Anolis sagrei: one gene and its partners. Each later gene encodes a partner of the first gene's protein in a complex. Links are inferred from orthologs where the notes say so. Each region holds a gene or a part of one and is shown in the gene's direction. Other genes may lie near its edges. The genes, in order: PARD3, PTEN and CDH5.

What was found.
Region 2: the proteins of PARD3 (region 1) and PTEN are in contact, whole or in part, in an NMR structure (PDB 2K20), measured with the Rattus norvegicus proteins. The link is inferred for Anolis sagrei from reciprocal best matches to the Homo sapiens genes PARD3 and PTEN. Residues at the interface, in NP_112514.1 of Rattus norvegicus: Ala599, Gly600, Leu601, Gly602, Val603, Ser604, Val605, Lys606, Gly607, Asn608, Arg609, Ser610, Lys611, His614, Lys622, Ile625, Met659, Leu662, Arg663, Met666; in NP_113794.1 of Rattus norvegicus: Asp393, Glu394, Asp395, Ser398, Gln399, Ile400, Thr401, Lys402, Val403.
Region 3: the proteins of PARD3 (region 1) and CDH5 are in contact, whole or in part, in an NMR structure (PDB 2KOH), measured with the Mus musculus proteins. The link is inferred for Anolis sagrei from reciprocal best matches to the Homo sapiens genes PARD3 and CDH5. Residues at the interface, in NP_296369.2 of Mus musculus: Ala599, Gly600, Leu601, Gly602, Val603, Ser604, Val605, Lys606, Gly607, Arg609, Lys611, Lys622, Ile625, Asn655, Gln656, Met659, Arg663, Met666; in NP_033998.2 of Mus musculus: Tyr774, Gly775, Asp777, Gln779, Glu780, Glu781, Leu782, Ile783, Ile784.

What each region holds. Positions count from the first base shown.
Region 1 is NC_090026.1:114,015,379-114,022,449, reverse strand, and holds the start of PARD3 (partitioning defective 3 homolog), read left to right. Parts: upstream 1-4,026; 5' UTR 4,027-4,333; coding exon 4,334-4,453; intron 4,454-7,071. UniProt on the Homo sapiens protein: Adapter protein involved in asymmetrical cell division and cell polarization processes. Seems to play a central role in the formation of epithelial tight junctions. Targets the phosphatase PTEN to cell junctions.
Region 2 is NC_090023.1:182,601,050-182,608,295, forward strand, and holds the start of PTEN (phosphatidylinositol 3,4,5-trisphosphate 3-phosphatase and dual-specificity protein phosphatase PTEN), read left to right. Parts: upstream 1-4,164; 5' UTR 4,165-4,754; coding exon 4,755-4,833; intron 4,834-7,246. UniProt on the Homo sapiens protein: Dual-specificity protein phosphatase, dephosphorylating tyrosine-, serine- and threonine-phosphorylated proteins.
Region 3 is NC_090028.1:20,443,750-20,450,955, forward strand, and holds the start of CDH5 (cadherin-5), read left to right. Parts: upstream 1-4,196; 5' UTR 4,197-4,402; intron 4,403-7,206. UniProt on the Homo sapiens protein: Cadherins are calcium-dependent cell adhesion proteins. They preferentially interact with themselves in a homophilic manner in connecting cells; cadherins may thus contribute to the sorting of heterogeneous cell types.

The sequences.
Region 1 (7,071 bases):
CGTAACAAGTTGGCCTTGAACCTTTGCATAGTATGGTTGTAATCATGTTTACTCACAAGTCACCCAGCAAAATAAACACAGTTCCCCATCCTGTAACCAGAACCTGTGCAGGTTTCCTCAAATCTCTAAGAGGGCTTACTCACACTACATAATTATAGTGTTCTTATTCCATTTTAACTGGCATACTTCCATCCTGTGGGCTCCTGGGATTTTTAGTTTGGTGCACTAAAGGGCTTTGGCAGTTCTAAATACTGCTCACTAAACTACCTATAGAGAATTAGTGCAGCACAATGGTTTAAGTCAGGGGTCCTCAAACTTTTTAAACAGAGGGCCAGGTCACAGTCCTTCAAACTGTTGGAGGGCCGGGTTATAATTTGGAAAAAAATCCATGAATGAATTCCTATGCACACTGCACATATCTTATTTGTAGTGCAAAAAACACTTCAAAACAATACAATAATTAAAATGAATAACAATTTTAACAAATATAAACTTATTAGTATTTCAATGGCTGATGAGATGGGATTGTTGTTGTGGTTGTTGTTGTGGTTATGTGCTTTCAAGTCATTTCAGACATAGGTTGACCCTCAGCAAGGGCAGGGTAAATTACCTTGGAGGGCCATATCCAGCCCTTGGGTCTTAGATTGAGGACCCCTGGTTTAAGTGATTAACTATTTTTAAGGAGACAAGGGTTTGAATCCTTACTCTTACATGGGGACCGCCTGGGTGATTCTGGACAAGTAACATTCTCTCAGGTTCAGAGAAAGGTGAACTCAGAAATATGAAAGAGTAGAGCTTGTGGTCTACCTAGGTAAGTGTGAATGTTGCAATTAGCCACCTTGATTAGCATTTAGTGGCCTTGCAGCTTCAAAGCCTATCTGGTTGCTGCCTGGGGGGATCCTGTGTTGAACAAAATCTGGCTAGGTAAAGATTTTCCCCTGACATTAAGTCCAGTTGTGTCCGGCTCTAGGGGGTGGTGCTCATCTCCATTTCTAAGTTGAAGAGCTGTTGTAGTTCGTAGACACCTCCAACCATGCTGGCATGACTGCATGGAGCTCTGTTACCTTCCTGCCGGAGTGTTACCTACTGATCTACTCACATTTTGCGTGTTTTCAAACTGCTAGGTTGGCAGAAGCTGGGGCTGACAGTGGGAGTTCAAACCGCACCCCAGATTAGAACCTGCAACTTTTTGGAAAGCGAGTTCATGCAGCTCAGTGGACCTTGTCGGCTCTGTGGTCTAGAAATGGAGATGAGTACCACCCCACAGAATTGGACAAAACTGGACTTAATGTCAGGGAAAACCTTTACCTAGCCAGATTTTAACACAAAACATTTAGCTCATATACATACATACACATACACACACACTCACATATGTATATGTATCTCTGTGTGTGTATGTCTGTGTGTATATATACACACACGCAAACACACACACATACATACATACATATATATATATACATGTATATGTATGTAAAAGGTAAAGGTTTTCCCCTGACATTAAATTCAGTCGTGTCCGACTCTGGGGGCTGGTGCTTATCTCCATTTCTAAGCCAAAGAGCCGGCATTGTCTGTAATAATAATAATAATATAATAATAATAAACTTTATTTATACCCCGCTACCATCTCCCCAAGGGACTCGGTGCGGCTTACATGAGGCCAAGCCCGAAGTACATCAAACAACATCAATAACACAACATTAATAAACAATCAATAAAATACAAATCATATAAATCACATAACAAAAACAATAATCAATAATGACATATTAAAAATGGCCGGGCCAAATGTAATAGATTGAAATTGAAAATATGCTGACATGAACAGGCAACATGTAACTGGGATAGGATTTTTCAGAGAGAAACGAGGGAACGCAATCCATCCTGTCAGTATTAAAGTGCATTATGAGGGCATATTGCTGAGAGTTCTCCTTATTCTGGGAAGGCACACTGGAACAACCATGTTTTCAAGCTCCTCCTAAAGACCACCAATGTTGGGGCATGTCTAATGTCCCTGAGAAGTTAATTCCAGAGTTGAGGGACCACCACCGAGAAGGTCCTCTTTCTTGTCCGTAGACACCTCCAAGGTTATGTGGCTGGCATGACTGCATGGAGCGCCGTTATATATATATATATACCCATACATATATATATACACACACATATATACCTATGTATGTGTATGTATGTATATGTACATACACATACACTACATTCGCAGCTGACAATGGAAGCTCAGGTCACTGCTGCCAGCAAACAGGCCTTTTTCCATCTACGACAAGCGAGGCAATTGGCACCCTACCTATCTGATGAGGCTCTGGCAACAGTCATCCATGCCACAGTCACATCTAGGCTGGACTATTGCAGCGCCCTGTATGTTGGCCTTCCGATGTCTACGACCCGAAAGCTCTGTATTGTTCAGAATGTGGCAGCCAGGCTACTCACAAGAACGCCCATGAAATGCCATATAACACCAGTGTTGCGGCATTTGCATTGGCTTCCAACTGATTACTGTGGTCTATATAAGATGCTAGTTCTGACCTTTAAAATTCTTTACCGCCAGGGTCCATCGTATCTTAGGGACCGCCTCTCCTTCTACCATCATCGGAGGTCGCAACGACCATCCCAACTGACTTACTTTATATACCGGGTCCTAGAGAAGTGCACTTGGAAAGGACCAGACGCAGAGCTTTTTCTTCTTCTGCCCTGCCTTGTGGAATTCCTTGCCACCCTATATGAAAGCCATTAGTGAGTTAGAGCCTTTTACCCTAGCACTTAAAACCTGGCTTTTTACTAGAGCTTTTGATCTTTGTTAATTTTATCAATATCTGTATTTTTATGCTTTACAATTTTAGCTTGTAAATCGCCTAGAGCATCTTGGATGGAGGGCGATTAATAAGTAATTAAATGGTGATGATGAAATATATATGTACATATATATACATGTACATTTTTGAGTCTTAACTCCATATATATATATATATATATATATGTATGATCTTGGGGTCCTCGTGGACAACAAGTTAAACATGAGCTAACAAAAGCCAATGGGATTTTGGCCTGCATTAATAGGAGCATAGTGTCTAGATCTAGGGAAGTAATGCTACCCCTCTATTCTGCTCTGGTTAGACCACACCTGGAATATTGTGTCCAATTCTGGGCACCACAATTCAAGAGAGATATTGACAAGCTGGAATGTCTCCAGAGGAGGGCGACTAAAATGATCAAGGGTCTGGAGAACAAGCCCTATGAGGAGCGGCTTAAGGAGCTGGGCATGTTTAGCCTGAAGAAGAGAAGGCTGAGAGGAGATATGATAGCTATGTATAAATATGTGAGAGGAAACCACAAGGAGGAGGGAGCAAGCTTGTTTTCTGCTTCCCTGGAGACTAGGAACAATGGCTTCAGACTACAAGAGAGGAGATTCCATCTGAACACGAGAAAGAACTTCCTGTCTGCGAGAGCCATTCAGCAGTGGAACTCTCTGCCCCGGAGTGTGGTGGAGGCTCCTTCTTTGGAAGCTTTTAAACAGGGGCTGGATGGCCATCTGTCAGGGGTGATTTGAATGCAATATTCCTGCTTCAGAAAGTACACGGAATGATAGAATCATAGAGTTGGAAGAGGTTCCTGCCTCTTGCAGAATTCTGGGGTTTGTAGTTTTGTGCGCCTGTTCCAAGCTTCTTCCTAAACTACAAACTCCAGAATTCTGCAGGAGGCAGAAACCGGATTTGAAGTGGATTCCCCCCCCCCCCCCGCCCCCTAGTGTGATATTCTAGGATAGATCAGGCATGGGCAAACTTGGGCCCTCCCTCCAGGTGTTTTGGACTCCAACCGCCGGTAGGCGGTTAGGAATGGTGGGAGTTGGAGTCCAAAACAGCTGGAGGGAGGGCCCAAGTTTGCCCCTGCCTGGGAGGGGGGTAGACCTGAAATGTCCAGAGTGTCAACAAAAGAAAGAGGGGAGAGGTATCCAAAAGGAGCGCCTTCTCTTCCCTTAGGAGGGAAGGGAGGGAGGCGTGGGCAGGAGAGGCGGGCGAAGAGAAGGAGAGAAAGAGAGAGAAAAGGAGGGCGGCCCAGTCCGTGCGAAGGGACGCGGGAGGCGGGAAGGAAGGAAAGAAGGCAGGCAGGAAGGCGAGGCGACGCTGAACAGGTGGCCAGAGGCAGCGGGCAGGAAGGCAGGCAGGCAGGCAGCAGAGCCTCCTCCTTCTCCTCATCTTCCTCCTCCTCCTTCTTCTCCTCTTGTTGGCCCACAGCATGTGAAGGGCCATCCACCCGCGGAGGCGCCTTGACCCGCTCTTCCCTTCCTCTTGGGCCTCTTGGGCCGTGGGAGGGGAGGATGAAAGTCACGGTCTGCTTCGGGCGGACCCGGGTGGTCGTGCCCTGCGGCGACGGGAACCTCCAGGTGGGCAGCCTTATCGAGCAAGCCGTGACCAGGTACAGGAAGGCCGTGGCGAAGGTGAGTCTGGGGCTTTGTATCCATGTGTGTGTGTGCGCATTATTATTATTATTATTTATTATTTCATTCACTTATACCCCGCCCTTCTCACCCCGGGGGGGACTCAGGGCGGCTTACAGGGGAGGGCACAATTAGATGCCCGAACACATAACAAGTAATACAAAAAGTAATACATTCAGTTGGGAAGAAGAAGGGAGCCCGAGAAGAGCGCGCCCGGGATCAATATGGCGCTTCCTGGCCTGGGGAGGGCTGGCGAGGGAAGAGGGAGCAAAGTGGGCCAAAGGAGAGCCCTGGAAGGAAGGGCCAAAGGGACAGAGCCCTCTCTCCCCGACTTCCCCCTTCAGTGGGTTCCGGAGTTGGAGTCTCAGCTTGGCCACAATCCGTGGAATAGCGAGCGACTTGGAGTGGGAAACTTTGGTGTGGGAAACTCGTTCCCATTTGGATACTTTTCTGCAATGTTTTGGGGAGGAAAAGGCTTGGAATATGGCTTCTCCTCTTCCTTCTCTTCCTCCTCCCACCACTTTGGGACGAGCAGAGATTTCTCCCTCCTTCCCGGTGTTGTGTTTTGGGGGGGGGGGGGGGGCTGGCGTCGCGAGGAGTCCCGAGGTGTTGGTGTGTTGCCTTCAGGGACTGAACTCTTTGTTGTTGCTCCCGCCTGCCGCTCTTTGGGCTGCAGCAAGTGGTTTGCCCGGAGAGTAGGCTTCCCTTCTTTTCCCATCCCCCTGTCCTTTTCAAGAGCAGCCTTCCCTTCTTTTCCTCTCCCTTCCCTTCTCTCTCTCAGCCTCCGTGCTTTGCAGGCTTCCCTTCTTTTCCTTTCCTTCCCCCCTCTTCCCCCCCCCGCCTTTTCAAGAGCAGGCTTCCCTTCTTTTCCTTTTCCTTCTCTCTCTCTCTCAGACCCCATCCTTTGCAGGCTTCCCTTCTTTTCCTTTCCCTTCTCTCTCTCTCTCTCCCCTCCTCCCCGTCCTTTTCAAGAGCAGGCTTCCCTTCTTTTACCTTCCCTTCTCTCTCTCTCTCTCTCAGCCCCCGTCCTTTGCAGGCTTCCCTTCTTTCCTTTCCTTCCCCCCTCCTTCTCCCTCCCCCCCCCGCCTTTTCAAGAGCAGGCTTCCCTTCTTTTCCTTTCCTTCTCTCTCTCTCTCTCTCTCTCTCTCTCTGAGACCCCGTCCTTTGCAGGCTTCCCTTTTCTTTTCCTTTCCCTTCTCCCTCCCGCGTCCGTTTCTCCCGTGGAAGGAGAGACTTTCCACGCCGAGATCTTCCCCCCCAATCTCTCGAGGTTTTGGAAGGCGTCAGATCAGGAGAATGTGGAGCTTTTTCTAGTTTCCCAAGAAATAGCATAACAAGGAGGAGGGGAAAAAAGGGAGAGATGGCAGCACCTCATTGTCGCCAGCATTCGTAAATATGCTTTATACATACATATAAAGCATATTATTTACACAGAATTGGGACATCATGTGACAGGATCCTGAAAAAAAATGCAAATTATGCCCCTTGTGTTAGATTTTCAAATGTTTTCTGGAGGTGATACAACTCCTTTAGATCTTTATACTGTTTACTTCTCAAGTGCTTCTTGCAACTGTTGCAGAGTTGTGTTTCATAGTTGTTGCAAAGGTTTTTGTTCACAATGAGAGAGAGAGAGCGAGCCTTCTTTGACTCTTTCTCCCTTCCTTTCCTGTCCCTCCCTCCCTGCCATGGGACAAGTTTCCTCCTCCTCTGCCTTTCCCTCTCCACGAGCTGTGGTTTCTGCAAAAGGCTTGAAATCCAGCCCCAGGCTTTCCAGCCAGTCCAGGCCCAAAGAAGCAAGCAGGGAGGGAGTGAGGGAGGGACCGAGGGAAGGGAAACACTCCACCAGAAATCATGGAGTCCCCCCTCTGCCTGGGAGTGGAGTTCTGAGGCTGCTGGAGCATGTGCTCTCTTGGACTTCTGCCTCTTTTCAAGCTGGAAAACAAACTCCTTTATAACAAACCTATGGCGTTAGACCAGCGTGGCTTATCCTCCCCTTGTTTTGAAAAGAGCTCTTATTGGAAAAGAAACAGCTTTTGCTGTAGCGGTGTGGTTGTGCGTAGTTTGAACACTTGCGGTAATACAGACTCTCTGCATTTCCAGAAAAATACTCTCTCAGTGTAGAGGAGAGATATTTGTCTTGTTTCTGTGAAGGGGATTCAAACCATTATTACATTTCAGGAGGAACTGTGGCTGATGTGTCCTTCCAGAGAATCCAGTCTGTTACACACTAACTTGCCCTCCTACTCTGCTTGCATCATTCCTGGTTTTGTGTCCAGTCACCACTTCTCTCCATACAATTCATAAATATATCTGAAACAGGCCCAATTTTGGGGTAGGGGGAGGGGGAGACACATATAATTATTATTATTCAGCCTTGGAACAGTATGTGAGCATGTACAAAAAACATTGAGCGTCCCTGTATTGTCAAACTGAGATGTGAGCTTTCCCGGCTGTAAGGCCATGTTCCAGAAGCATTCTCTCCTGATGTTTTGCCTGCATTTATGGCAGGCATCCTCAGAGCTGGGGTTTTTTTTTGGTCGTGTCAGGAGCAACCTGGGAAACTGCAAGTCGCTTCTTGTGTGAGAGAATTGGCTATCTGCAAGGACGTTGCCCAGGGG
Region 2 (7,246 bases), on another chromosome or scaffold:
CGGGCCATTTTCAAGGGCAGCCCCACGTAAAGTGCATTACAGTAATCCAATCTGGAGGCAACTAAGGCATGTACCACGCTATACTATGCAGCCATGGGTGCCAAGGGGCAGTGCAGTCCCCATGCTGTATGCAAGGAATTGGGCAAACTTCATGCAGTCTTGGGCGCAGGGGTTGCACCATCTCTGTGTCCTGCATCCCTGGATGTCAAGAGGTTGTGCAATTCCAGCACCAACCCAAGTGCCAAGAGGTGTGTGATCTCCATGTCCTGCATCTCTGGGTGCCAAGGGGCCATTTAGTCCCCATGCCAATCATTCCTGGATGCCAGAGGTTGTACAATCACCATGTCTTTCATCCCTGGGTGCCAAGGGTTCATTTAATCCCCATACTATGCAGTTCTGGGTGAGAAGGGCCATGGAATCCTAATGCTATGTTTTCTTACGTGCCGGGTGATGTGCAATCCCCACCCACAAGGTATCCAGGGTCATGCTTTGCATCTCTGGACACTAAGGCATTGTGCAATCCTGATAGAATCACAGGTGCCAGGGGCCATGTAATCTGCATGCTCTGTATCCCTGGGTGCCAAGGGTTGTGCAATTCCAGGACCATCCCAGGTACCAGGGTTTGTGTAAACTTCATACCACGCATCCCTGGGGGGCTAAGGGATCAACCCCTATCCCATGCAACCTTGGGTACCAAAGGGTGGTATAATCCCCATACTGTGCAGCCCTAGGTCCCAGAGTTATGTCATTTCCATGCCACCCTGGGAGCTAGGGGTGGTGCAATCTCCATAGTATTCAGCCCTAGTAGGTACCATTGGGTTGTGCAATCTTCAGGCCACCCTGGGTACCAAGGGGCGCAACAATCCTCATGCTATGTACCCTTGGGGTCATCTCTCTTTTTAAATGTTTTTTTAAATTTAGTACAAACTAGTAGAACATAACCATTTTTTCTCGTGAGGAAGTTTAGAAGATAATATAGGTGACTTAAATAGTATATATATTTTTAACAATTTAACAAAAAGTAGATTAAAAATTCTATATTTAATAGCTCTTGTCCCCTACATGTATCCATCTCTTTTCCACTATTTCCCTTATTTTCCTCTGGGAACAGTCCTGCATTTCCTTTATCATTTATTCTATTCAGACAGCACAGTGTGACAAAGACAAGGACAGACAGACTGAAGGATAGCTTTTATCCTAGACCTGTGGCTATATTGAACTCAGTGGTTTTGCACCGATGTAGCATTGAAGGCTGTGTGGAGGTGGTGTGTTGTTTTGTGGTGCGTACAGGGGAAGGCATGTCATTTTGTTGTGCAATAGCGCAATGACAAATAAAGCTAGTCTATTCTGTAATCTCCATGCCATGCCATCCTAGTTACCAAGTCTCCACAATGCGTTGTAGGTTTTTCGGGCTATATGGCCATGTTCTAGAAGCATTCTCTCCTGACGTTTCGCCTGCATCTATGGTAGGCATCCTCACAGGTTGTGGATGACATCACAACCTCTGAGGATGCTTGCTAGAAATGCAGGCGAAACGTCAGGAGAGAATGCTTCTAGAACATGGCCATATAGCCCGTAAAACCTACAACAACCCAGTGATTCTGGCCGTGAAAGCCTTCGACAATACAATCTCCACAATCCTCATGCTATGTATCCATGGGGCTGTGCAATCCCCATGATGTGCATCCTTTGAGTGCCACATCCTGGAACAACAACAACAACACTTTATTTATATATCGCTCTATCTCCCCAAGGGGACTCAGAACGGTTTCCAAGTAACATAATCAATACATACAAGAAAAAAAGGCATAAACATAAAATTAACAAAACAGTATAAGCATTAAAACCACAATAGCACATATATTTAAAATAATCATGTCTGATCAAGGCAGTTTAAAAGGCCAGGCCAGGCTAATGTGATTTAGTCTATGGCTGTACATGTCTATGGCTATACATTTCCAGGGCCTAACAGAAGAGAGTGACCTGGGTAATTGGCAGAAGAAGATATGGCCAATTTCAACAGTATCTGGGGCAGAGCAAGAACTAGTCATTCTCAAAGGTTTGTTTAAACCACCAGGTCTTCAGGCTCTTACGAAAAGAGGGGAGTGATGGGGCCTGTCTTATTTCCCCAGGAAGGGTGTTCCAGAGGTGAGGGGCCACCACCGAGAAGGCCCTCTCTCTCGTCCCCACCAACTGTGCTTGTGACGGTGGTGGGAGCGAATGGAGGGCCTCCCCCGGAAGATCTTAAAGTTTGCGCCGGCTCATATGCAATCACAAAGACCCAACAGGAAGCAGTTCTGATTCTTGGTTGTTGTAGTTTTTTCTGGCTATATGGCCATGTTCTAGAAGCATTCTCTCCTGACGTTTCGCCTGCATCTATGGCAAGCATCCTCAGAGGTTGTGAGGTATGAGAGCATGGGCAAAGATTTATTTATTTATTTATTTATTTGGGGTGCTTCTACCCCTTCTCAACCCCCTAGGGCAGTAGTTCTCAACGTGGGGTCCCCAGATGTTTTTGGCCTTCAACTCCCAGAAATCCTAACAGCTGGTAAACTGGCTGGGATTTCTGGGAGTTGTAGGCCAAAAACATCTGGGGACCCCAGGTTGAGAACCATTGCTCTAGGGGGAACTCAGGGCGGCTTACAAAAGGCACAATTCGATGCCCAACAATTCACAAAATAAATATACAAAATTACAATATAGCGTCAACAGTTATAACTAGTTAAAACAATCAAGACGGTACAATAGCAGCAATAAAATCATCTTGTGGTCAATGTTCGCCAATTCATAAATCGGTAATCCATCTAACATCGTCATTGTCCTTTCCTACTCTGGTCATCATTGTCTTTGTCCATCTGCCAGCTTACCCAAAAGCCTGGTCCCACATATAGATTTTTAGCTTCCTTCTGAAAGAGAGGAGGGATGTTGATGACCTAATCTCCCTGGGGAGTGCATTCCATAGGCGAGGGGCCACCACCGAGAAGGCCCTGTCCCTCGTCCCCACCAGTCTCACTTGTGATAATGGTAGGGCCTAGAGCAGGGCCTCCCCAGAGATTCTCTTTGCCCACTGGTGCAAGGTCTCAACCCCAGACTGGACAGCCTAACCAGGGATTGCAACCAGGACAACAAAAGCCAATGTGAAAGGGTGGCTGCTAGGCCAATGCATCAATAAGCCTTGCAAGGAGGCTCTTGGGGACCAAAGGCACCTCCTGCTGCAAAAAAAAAGGGCCATTGCAAGGGGTGTACAATAGAAAAGGCTGTGATACTGATGCAAGCCCTCCCTTGGAAAGAAGTGGGGCAGAAGCAGCCTCAGCTCAGGAGGCGGAGGAGCGGGAAGTGCCCCCTCCCTTTCCTCTGCTTTACACCCGTCACGTGACTCCGGGGGGAATTAGCCCGTCATTGGGATGAGGCAATCGCCTGTGGGATATCCTTCCGCCGCTTCCGAACGTGTCCCTCTCTCTCTCTCTACGCCTGCGCTCCTCTTCTTCTTTTCCAGTCTAGGAGCAATCGCCCTTCTCGGCTTGAATCTGCTTTTGATGAAGGAAGGAAGAACGGAAAGAAAGGAACGGAAAGAAAGGAAGGAAAAGTCGGAGGAAGAGATTTGGAGGCGGTGATGTGGCGGCGGACTCCTTTTTCCTCCAGCGGCGGAGGGAGCTCACCAAGAGCGGAGTGATGCGTTCCCGCTGACTTTTTTTCCCCCTCCTCCTCCCCCTCCCCTCTCTCTTTCGGCGCTGTTCCTTTTTCTCCCTCCCCCTCCCCTCCTTTTCTCCCCCCCTCCCTTTGCTTCCTTTTTCCCTCTCGCTCTGCCTCTCTTTCGGAAGCTGCAGCCATGATGGTTGGCTGGCGCAAGCGAGGCTGCAAGTGAGCCTTGAAGGAGAAGAAAGTCAGGAAAAGGAAGAAAGGAAAAGAAGAAGAAGAAAAAAAAGGGGGGTGTCAGCGATTGAAGGAACAGCCGCTCTCTTGGAGACAAGGAGGGAGGGGGGAGGGAGGAGGGAGGAGGAGGAGGAGAGAAAAAAATCGGCTCGGCTCTTCTACGCGTGCGCGGCAGAAGGCAAAGAAGAAGGAAGGAAAGGGAAGGAAAGGAAGGCGACCCAACCGCCGCGCAGAGGAATGAGGCGAGGAGGCCGCCTTCCCCTCAGGACCTGAGAGGGCTATTTTATTGATTTTTTAATTCTGTTTCTCGGGCCCGCCCGCCTCCTTTTTCGTCCTTTTTTGTTTTTGCGTTTCCCGCTTTCGGAAAGCAAGGGAAGGAGCAACCTGCCTGCCCGCCCGCTCGGGCGGGTGGGGAAAAGCGGGCGAAGCTGCTGCCGTCGCCGGTCCTCCTGGAGCCCCGCCGCCGCTCGAGCCCGCGGGAGAGAGGAGGAGGAGGGAGCCTCGGCGGCGGCGGCGGCGGCTCCTCCTCAGTCTCCTCGGCCTCCTCCTCGCCTCAGGAAGCGACGCTCTCGCCGCCGCTGGGCCAGGCCGCGTCCGGGCCTTCGCCTGAAGAAGAAGAAGGAGGAGGAGGAGAAGCAGCAGCAGCCGCCTTACCGTCATCGTCTCCACCTTCTTCTTCGAGCCGCTCCGTGAGCAGCAGCAGCAGTCGCCGCCGCCGCCGTCCTCCTCACCGTTGGCGGGCCGAAGCGGGAGGGGGCCAGCCTCCCCCTCCTCCGCCTCCTCTGCCTCTTCCTCCTCCGCCGAGGCTCCGCGCCCTCTGCGCCCTGCAGCCGCCGCCGTGCTTGTCCGCCCTGTTCCTCAGCGGCTCCCGGCTCCCAGACATGACCGCCATCATCAAAGAGATCGTCAGCAGGAACAAAAGGAGATACCAGGAGGATGGCTTCGATCTAGACCTGACCTGTATCCCTCCCGTGGGTCGCCTTCGCTTGGATTGCGCCTTCGCCTCCTTTAGGGCCCTTCCACACAGCTGCCTTGAATTGGATTGCAGGGCAGTGTGGGCTCAGAGAATCCGGTTCAGATCCCCCTTCCATACAGCTGAGCAAAATCCCACATTTTCTGCTTTGAGATGGGATATATGGAAATGTGGATTCAGCTAACACAGGGCCCTTCCACACAGCCCTATATCCCAGAACATCAAGGCAGAAAATCCCACATTTTCTGCATTGAACTGAAATATATGGCTGTGTGGACTCAGCCCAGCTCAAAGCAGATATTGTGGGATTTTCTGCCTTGATATTCTGGAATATAGGGCTGTGTGGAAGAGCTCTGAGTATACTCAGATAATTTGGGATTTTCTGCCTTTATATTCAGGGATACAGAGCTGTGTGGAAGGGCCCTCAGTTAGAGTTATGGCAGTGTGGACTTGGACAACCCAGGGCCCTTCCACACAGCCCTATATCCCAGAACATCAAGGCAGAAAATCCCACATTATCTGAGTGTGGACTCAGGGCTCTTCCACACAGCTGAATAAAATCCTACATTTTCTGCTTTGAACTGGAATATATGGCTGTGTGGACTCAGCCCAGTTCAAAGCAGATATTGTGGGATTTTCTGCCTTGATATTCGGGGATATAGAGCTGTGTGGAAGGGCCCTGGATTAGGGTTATGACAGTGTGAACTCGGACAACCCAGATCCCTTCCACACAGCCCTATATCCCAGAACATCAAGGCAGAAAATCCCACATTATCTGAGTGGACTCAGGGCCCTTCCACACAACTGAATAAAATCCCACATTTTCTGCATTGAACTGGAATATATGGCTGTGTGGAGTCAGATTGGCCAGTTCAAAGCAGATATTGTGGGATTTTCTGCCTTGATATTCTGGAATATAGGACTGTGTGGAAGAACTGAGTACACTCAGTTATTTGGGATTTTCTGCCTTGATATTCTGGAATATAGGGCTGCGTGGAAGAGCTCTGAGTACACTCACATAATTTGGGATTTTCTGCCTTGATATTCGGGGATATAGAGCTGTGTGGAAGTGCCCTGGGTTAGGCTTATGGCAGTGTGGACTCCGACAACCCAGGGCCCTTCCACACAGCCCTATATCCCAGAACATCAAGGCAGAAAATCCCACATTATCTGAGTGTGGACTCGGGGCCATTCCACAGAGCTGAATAAAATCCCACATTTTCTTCATTGAACTGGAATATATTGCTGTGTGGACTCCGATAGCCCAGTTCAAAGCAGATATTGTGAGATTTTCTGCCTTGATATTCTGGAATATAGGACTGTGGAAGAACTCTGCGTACACTCTGATAATGTGGGATTTTCTGCCTTGATATTCTGGAATATAGAGCTGTGTGAAAGGGGCCTGGGTTAGGGTTATGGCAGTGTGGACTCATACAACCCAGGGCCCTTCCACACAGCCCTATATCCCAGAATATCAAGGCAGAAAATCCCACAATATCTGAGTGTAGACTCAGGGTCCTTCCGCACAGCTGTCTTGAATTGGATTATATGGCAGTGTGGGCTCAGATAACCCAGTTCAAAGCAGATATCGTGGAATTTCCTGCCTTGATATTTGGGGATATAGAGCTGTGTGGATGGGCCCTGGGTTAGGGTTATGGCAGTGTGGACTCAGATAACCCAGGGTCCTTCCACACAGCCCTATATCTCAGAATATCTGAGTGTGGACTCAGGCCTTTCCACACAGCTGAATAAAATCCCACATTACCTGCTATGAACTGGATTATATGGCAGTGTGGTCTCGAGAATCCAGTTCAGAGCAGATATTGTGGGCCCCTTCCATACAGCTGGACAAAATCCCACATTTTCTGCTTTGAGGTGGGATATATGGAAATGTGGTCTCAGCTAACCCAGGGGCCTTCCACACAGTCCTGTATCCCAGAACATCAAGGCAGAAAATCCCACATTATCTCAGTGTGGACTCGGGACCTTTCCACACAGCTGAATAAAATCCCATATTTTCTGCATTGAAATGGAATATATGGCTGTGTTGACTCAGATAACCCAGTTCAAAGCTGATATTGTGGGACTTTCTGCCTTGATATTCTGGGATATAGGGCTGTGTGGAAAGGCTCCCAGAATATCAAGACAGAATAATCCACAGTATTGGCTTTGATAATGTGGGATTTTATTCAGCTCTGTGGAAGGGCCCTGGATTATTTGAGTCCACACTGCCATATAATTGCAGTTCAATATGGATTTTATACAGTTGTGTGGAAGGGGCCCTTGTGAAACTTCACCTTCCTGAGGGAGGAGGGGCTGTTGGAAAAGTGCTGTCAAACTGTATATTGATGCAGAGAGGTCAAGGGCTCTCCCACACAGCCCTATATTCATACAACTCAC
Region 3 (7,206 bases), on another chromosome or scaffold:
TTTGGCCCATCTCTCTAATCTGTCAAGATCATTTTGAATCCTGCTCCTGTCCTCTGGAGTGTTGGCTATCCCTCCCAATTTGGTGTCGTCTGCAAACTTGATGATCATGCCTTCTAGCCCTTCGTCTAAGTCATTAATAAAGATGTTGAACAGGACCGGGCCCAGGACAGAACCCTGCGGCACTCCACTTGTCACTTCTTTCCATGATGAAGAGGAAGCATTATGATTCATAACAGTAGCAAAATTACACTTATGAAGTAGCAACTAAAATAGTTTTATAGTTGGGGATCACCACAACATAAGGAACTGTATTAAGGGGTTGCAGCACTAGGAAGGTTGATAGCCATTGCTCCAGGAGCAGAAATGAGACTGCTGGCACAAAATGCCTCAGTAACTCCACCTTTGCTACATTGTGATCACCATGATAACGGACGCTCACTAGAAAGGCACTCAACATCCTTCCTGTTTTCCCTCTCCATCCGGCTTGAGGAGAGATTGTGTCCTTTCTTTGGGGGAAAAGGAATTGTAAACAGCTTCTGCCGAGAAAGCTTTGAAAAATGTTCCCTCATTAGTTGCTTAACCTTCCTGAATAATAGATGCATCGAAATTTCTAAAAGCGCTATTTGTCTTTTGCTGTTGCTCTCATAAAAATATGATATAGTGTGAGTGGAGCTTCGTCTTTTCACACAAAGGGAGATCAGACTTCTTAAGCTGTAATGAAGAAGGGAGGTGAGGCCCTATTGAACTTGGAGTTGTTAGGAAAGTGTCCCATAAAATGGCTGCAGTTCCTTTGGCCATCTTTATAGTGTAGCAATGAAACCATTTACCTCAGCATTCCTCAACCTGGGAGTTGGGACCCCTGGGGGGGCCATGAGGGGGTGTCATAGGGGTCATCAAAGACCATCAGAAAACATAGTATTTTCTGTTGTTCATGCAGATTCTGTGTGGGAAGTCTGGCCCAATTCTATTGTTGGTGGGGTTCAGAATCCTCTTTCACTGTACTATAAATCCCAGCAACTATAACTTCAAAATGTTATGGTCTATTTTCCCCAAACTCCACCAGTGTTCACATTTGGACATATTGAGTATTCATGCCAAGTTTGATCCAGATCCATCGTTGTTTGAGTCCACAGTGCTCTCTGGATATAGGTGAACTGCAACTCCAAAACTCAATGTCAATGCCCACCAAACCCTTCCAGTATTTTCTGTTGGTCATGGGAGTTCTGTGTTTCAAGTTTGGTTCAATTCCATTGTTAGTGGAGTTCAGAATGCTCTTTGATTGTAGGTGAACTTTAAATCCCAGCAATGACAACTTCCAATATTTTTAAATATAGATCTTGGAGTCCTCGTGGACAACAAGTTAAACATGAGCCAACAATGTGATGTGGTGGCAAAAAAAGCCAATGGGATTTTGGCCTGCATCAATAGGAGCATAGGGTCTAGATCTAGGTAAGTCATGCTATCCCTCTATTCCACTTTGGTTAGACCATACCTGGAATATTGTGTCCAATTCTGGGCACCACAATTCAAGAGAGATATTGACAAGCTGGAATGTGTCCAGAGGAGGGTGACTAAAATGATAAAGGGTCTGGAGAACAAGCCCTATGAGGAGCGGCTTAAGGAGCTGGGCATGTTTAGCCTGAAGAAGAGAAGGCTGAGAGGAGATATGATGGCCATGTATAAATATGTGAGAGGAAGCCACAGGGAGGAGGGAGCAAGCTTGTTTTCTGCTTCCCTAGAGACTAGGACGCGGAGCAATGGCTTCAAACTACAAGAGAGGAGATTCCATCTGAACATGAGAAAGAACTTCCTGACTGTGAGAGCCGTTCAGCAGTGGAACTCTCTGCCCCGGAGTGTGGTGGAGGCTCCTTCTTTGGAAGCTTTTAAACAGAGGCTGGAGGGCCATCTGTTAGGGGTGATTTGAATGCAATATTCCTGCTTCTTGGCAGGGGGTTGGACTGGATGGCTCATGAGGTCTCTTCCAACTCTTTGATTCTATGATTATATATATATATATCTTTTTATTTGATGCATCCCAACAATCAACAAAAATTTTGCCATACAGAATTTATTTCAATATACATTATTCCAAAAGTAAATATTCCTTAAATGACATTTTATACATTCCTTAGTTATGTATCGCCCAACAACCCCTTTCCCCCCATCCCCCCCACCCTCCTGAAAGAGCAATTCTAAATCATGTCACGCAATGACAACTTCCAAATGACAAAATCCATCCTTCCCCCCAACCCCACCATTATTCAAATTTAGGTGTATTGGGTATTTGTGCCAAATTTGGTCCAGTGAATGAAAATACATCCTGCATATCGGATATTTACATTACAATTCATAACAGGAGCAAAATTACAGTTATGAAGTAGCAACAAAAACAATGTTATGGTTGGAGGTCACCACAATATGAGGAACTATATTGAGGGGGCGCAGCATGATGAAGGTTAAGAATCATTGAGTCAGGGCTTATTTTCAAGGCATATCTAATTTTTCCAAACTGACTTTTTTGAGAACTGTAACTAAGGCTTATTTTTTAAGTAGGGCTTATATTTCGAGCATCCTCAAAAATCCTGAAAAATCATGCCAGGACTTATTTTCAGGGTAGGTCTTATTTTGTGGGGAAACAGAGTATATTGAAAGAGCACTATATTCAGAAAGACAAAGCTATAGAGACCATTTTTGATCCAGTTGTTGTTGTTTATTCATTCTGTCGCTCCCGACTCTTTGTGACCCCCTGGAACAGAGCTCCCTGTCAGCCATAGCACCCCCAGTTCCTTCGAAGATCAAGCCAGTCACTTCAAGGATAACATCCATCCATCTTGCCTTGGTTGGCCCCTCATCCTTTTTCCTTCCATTTTCCCCAGCATCATCTCTTCTCCAAGGAGCCCCCAGTGGTGCAGTGGATTAAACTCCTGTGCCAGCAGGACTGAAGACCAACAAGTCACAGGTTCAAATCCAGGGAGAGCTTGGATGAGCTCCCTTTATCAGCTCCAGCTCCTCATGTGGGGACATGAGAGAAGCCTCCCACAAGGATGTATATTTATCGTGTCAGGCAACCAGACAATTGTATTACATTTCTAACAGAACAAAACAGACAGACAGACAGACAAAACACAAAATTTGCAAGCTTGGTAGTTGATTAAATGTCCTTTGACCAGTATCTGGCCATTTGGAGTGCCTCTGGTGTTACCGCAAGAAGGTCCTCCATTGTGCATGTGGCAGGGCTCAGGGTGCATTGCAGCAGGTGGTCAGTGGTTTGCTCTTCTCCACACTTGCATGTCGTGGATTCCACTTTGTAGCCCCATTTCTTCAGGTTGGCTCTGCATCTCGTGGTGCCAGAGCGCAGTCTGTTCAGCATCTTCCAAGTCGCCCAGTCTTCTGTGTGTCTCAGCCATTGGTTGAGGTTCTGGGTTTGAGCCTGCCACTTTTGGACTCTCGCTTGCTGAGGTGTTCCAGTGAGTGTCTCTGTAGATCTTGATTTAAGTCGTTGACGTGCTGGCTGATACCCAAACAGGGGATGAGCTGGAGATATCACTGCCTTGGTCTTTTCACTATTGGCTGCTACTTCCTGGCGGATGTCAGGATGATAAAACATCAAAACATCCGGGCGTCCCCTGGGTAACGTCCTTGCAGACGGCCAATTCTCTCAGACCAGAAGCGATTGCAGTTTCTCAAGTCGCTCCTGACATGACAAAAAAAAAATCTCTTCTCCAAGCTTTCCTGTCTTCTCATTATGTGGCCAAAGTACTTCATCTTTGCCTGATCCAGTATGAGACTATATTTCCACTGTTCTTCGGATTTAAGCCTTTTGCCTGCCGTAGGAAACGTGCAAAAGTTCTCTTTGGCCGTGTGCCTCAGTGGGCGAAAATGTTGAAACTAAACTAACCCTTAGGACCAATTTGCTGAGGAGTGCCAGAAAATGCAGGCCTCTCTTTTCAGAAATGTAATGAAATCCAGTTACTGATGTTGTATTACACTGATATCAAGGAATTCTTTCTTCCCATCTTTCTTTCTGTCAGTCTTGTTCCCTCTTTGTCTTTCTTCCTTCCTTCTCTCCTGAGGCTCTTTTTTTACTTGTTCCTCCCAGGCCCAAGGTAGTGAATTTAAAAAAAAATACTTTTTATCTGATTTCCTCCACACCCTTTTCTTTCCAGCATTACTAAGGCTTGGAACAATAACAGGATGCCGGGATGCAGGACGGGAAAAGGGCAGACTCCCAGCTGGGAAACCTTGGAGACTGGGAAGCCGAACACTCCCTGTATTACTCAATGCAGAGTAATAGTGGGTTGCATTATGTTCTAGATATTACACTTTACCCGGTCAGGACATAGAGAACATTACGTGGACAGAGGTAACGGAATTGTGTCAATTCGGATAAAGCCCAAGCCAGGTAAGAATCAAGGAAAAGATTGGGATATTGAAGGATTCTTGCTCTTGGTGCACTTGTTCTTGCCTAACTTGCTATGTCTCTTCCTCTTGGATGGCCATTTGTCAGGGGTGATTTGAATGCAACATTCCTGCTTCTTGGCAGGGGGTTGGACTGGATGGCCCATGAGGTCTCTTCCAACTCTTTGATTCTATGATTCTATGATTTAAAAGTTATGTTGGGATGGCTTTGTATTGCATTTTTCCCATCATGCCTTCCATAATTGCACCTACATTTCATTATTGTGTTTATTATTTCATAGTCAATTATTTTATGTTAAGTACTAGCTGTCCCCTGCCAGGCATTGCTGTGGCCCAATCTGGTGACCTGGAAAATGAAGTAATGAGAAAGTGTTGGTTTCTAATATATGTAATTCCTTTATGCTTGTGGGAAAACAGTACTTCTTGTTGTTTCTTTGTCAGTGTTGATGTGGAGAGTGTCTGGTTTGCCTACTCTGGAATATGCAACATATTATAGTCCTTCTTTAAGGGTCTCTTTCAAATCTATGATACTATATCTCTCTGTGTGTGAGAGAATCATATCTATCTATCTATATTTATGACTGGATGGCTCTTTGTCAGGAGGGCTCTGATTACATTTTCTTGCCCTGGTGAAGAGAGTTGGACTGGATGGCCTTAAGTATTTTCTGTTGGTCATGGGGGTTCTGTGTGGGAAGTTTGCCCCATTTCTGTGGTTTGTGGGTTTCAGAATGCTCTTTAATTGTAGTGAACTATAAATCCCAGTAACTACAAATCCCAAATGTCAAGGTCTATTTCCTCCAAACTCTATCTGTGTTCATATTTAGGCATATGGAATATTTGTGTCAAGTTTGGTCCAGATCCATCATTGTTTGAGTCCACAGTGCTCTCTGGATGTAGGTGAACTACAACTCCCAAACTCAAGGTCAATGCCCACCAAACCATTCCAGTGTGTTCTGTTCATCATGGAAGTCATGTATGCCATGTTTGGTTCAATTCCATCATTGGTGGAGTTCAGAATGCTCTTTGATTGTAGGTGAACTATAAATCCCAGCAACTACAACTGCCAAATGTCAAGATCTATTTCCCTTAAACTCCTTCTGTGTTCATATTTGGGCATATGAAATATTCGTGCCAAGTTTGGTCCAGATCCATCATTGTTTGAGTCCACGGTGCTCTCTGGATGTGGGTGAACTATAATTCCCAAACTCAAGGTCAATGTCCACCAAACCCTTCCAGTTTTTTCTGTTGGTCATGGGAGCCCTGTGTGCTAAGTTTGGCCCGATTCCATCATTGGTGGAGCTCAGAATGCTCTTTGATTGTAGGTAAACTATAAATCCCAGCAACGACAATTCCCAAATGACAAAATCAATTTTTTGAGTGGAGGACATACATTGGGTTATTAGGTGTCTTGTGTCCAAATTTGGTGTCAATTCCCCCAGTGGTTTTTGAGTTCTGATGGTAGCACAAACGAACATTACATTTTTATTTATATAGATGATGATGATGTATATGTTACTTGTTTCAGAAATGGTTTACAAATGCAAAACAATGGGAAAATAAGGCCCCTTCCATACAGCTGCATAAAATCCCACATTATCTGCTTTGAACTGGAATATATATGGACTCAGATAATCCAGTTCAAAGCAAATATTGTGGGATTTTCTGCCTTGATATTCTGGGTTATATGGCTGTGTGGAAGGGCCCTAGTTAACAGCTCTTTTGGGATATTGTCAGAATGTGATGGGCCAAATCAAGGGACCCTACAATTGTCCAGGATGTGTGGTTGCAAGCTGGCTTTATTGATAGCACCGCTGTGCTCAAATTGCATGGTTGGAGAAACATATCTACATTCAGAATATTCCCCATTCCAGGATGCTCATAGATTGCAAAATCTCATAAGACACTGAGCTGTGTTTTTGTGAAAGTGGCAGCATTTTAAATCATAACCCAAGGTACCAAACCACTGCCGGGAAAACTTTAAAACAGAACATGGAATATGGCCATACAGCCCGAAAAACTTAAAACAACCCAGTGATTCCGGCCATGAAAGTCTTTGACAATATATTTAAAACAGAAGTTGCAAAATAGTCCCATTCTCTAATCCAAAGTTTTCCAAACATTTTATTTATTATTTATTTATTTGCTTTATTTATACACCACTCTTCTCAACCCCGAAGGGGACACAGAGCGGTTTTGTGTTGGTGACACGTATTTTTTAGACAACGCCTCCTTTTGTGATGCAGCAATTCAGTTTTACTTGCAAACTGGAGGTCAAACCAATCTCTTATAGGAATGTATACTACAGATTGTGTGTGTGTGTGTGTGAGAGAGAGAGAGAGAGAGAGAGAGTCCCCATGGGCGCAGCATTTTAAATCACTGAGTTGCTGAACTTGCTGACTGAAAGGTCAGCAGTTCAAATCCAGAGAGCGCAATGTACTCCTGCTGTTAGCCCAGCTTCTGCCAACCTAGAAGTTCAAAAACAAGCAAATGTGAGTAGATCAATAGGTACCACTTCTGCAGGAAGGTGACGGTGCTACATGCAGTCATGCTGGCCACATGAACTTGGAGACATCTATGGACAACGCAGGCTCTTTGGCTTAGAAGAGGAGATGAGCATCACCCCCCAGAGTTCGACACGACTAGACTTAATGTCAAGGGGAAACCTTTACCTTTATCTTTACCTTTATATATTGAATATCTATCTATCTATCTATCTATCTGTTTCATATAATCTCTACTGTATAAATAAGGTTTGGATATTTTTTCCTTTACGCTTCCTTTACTACA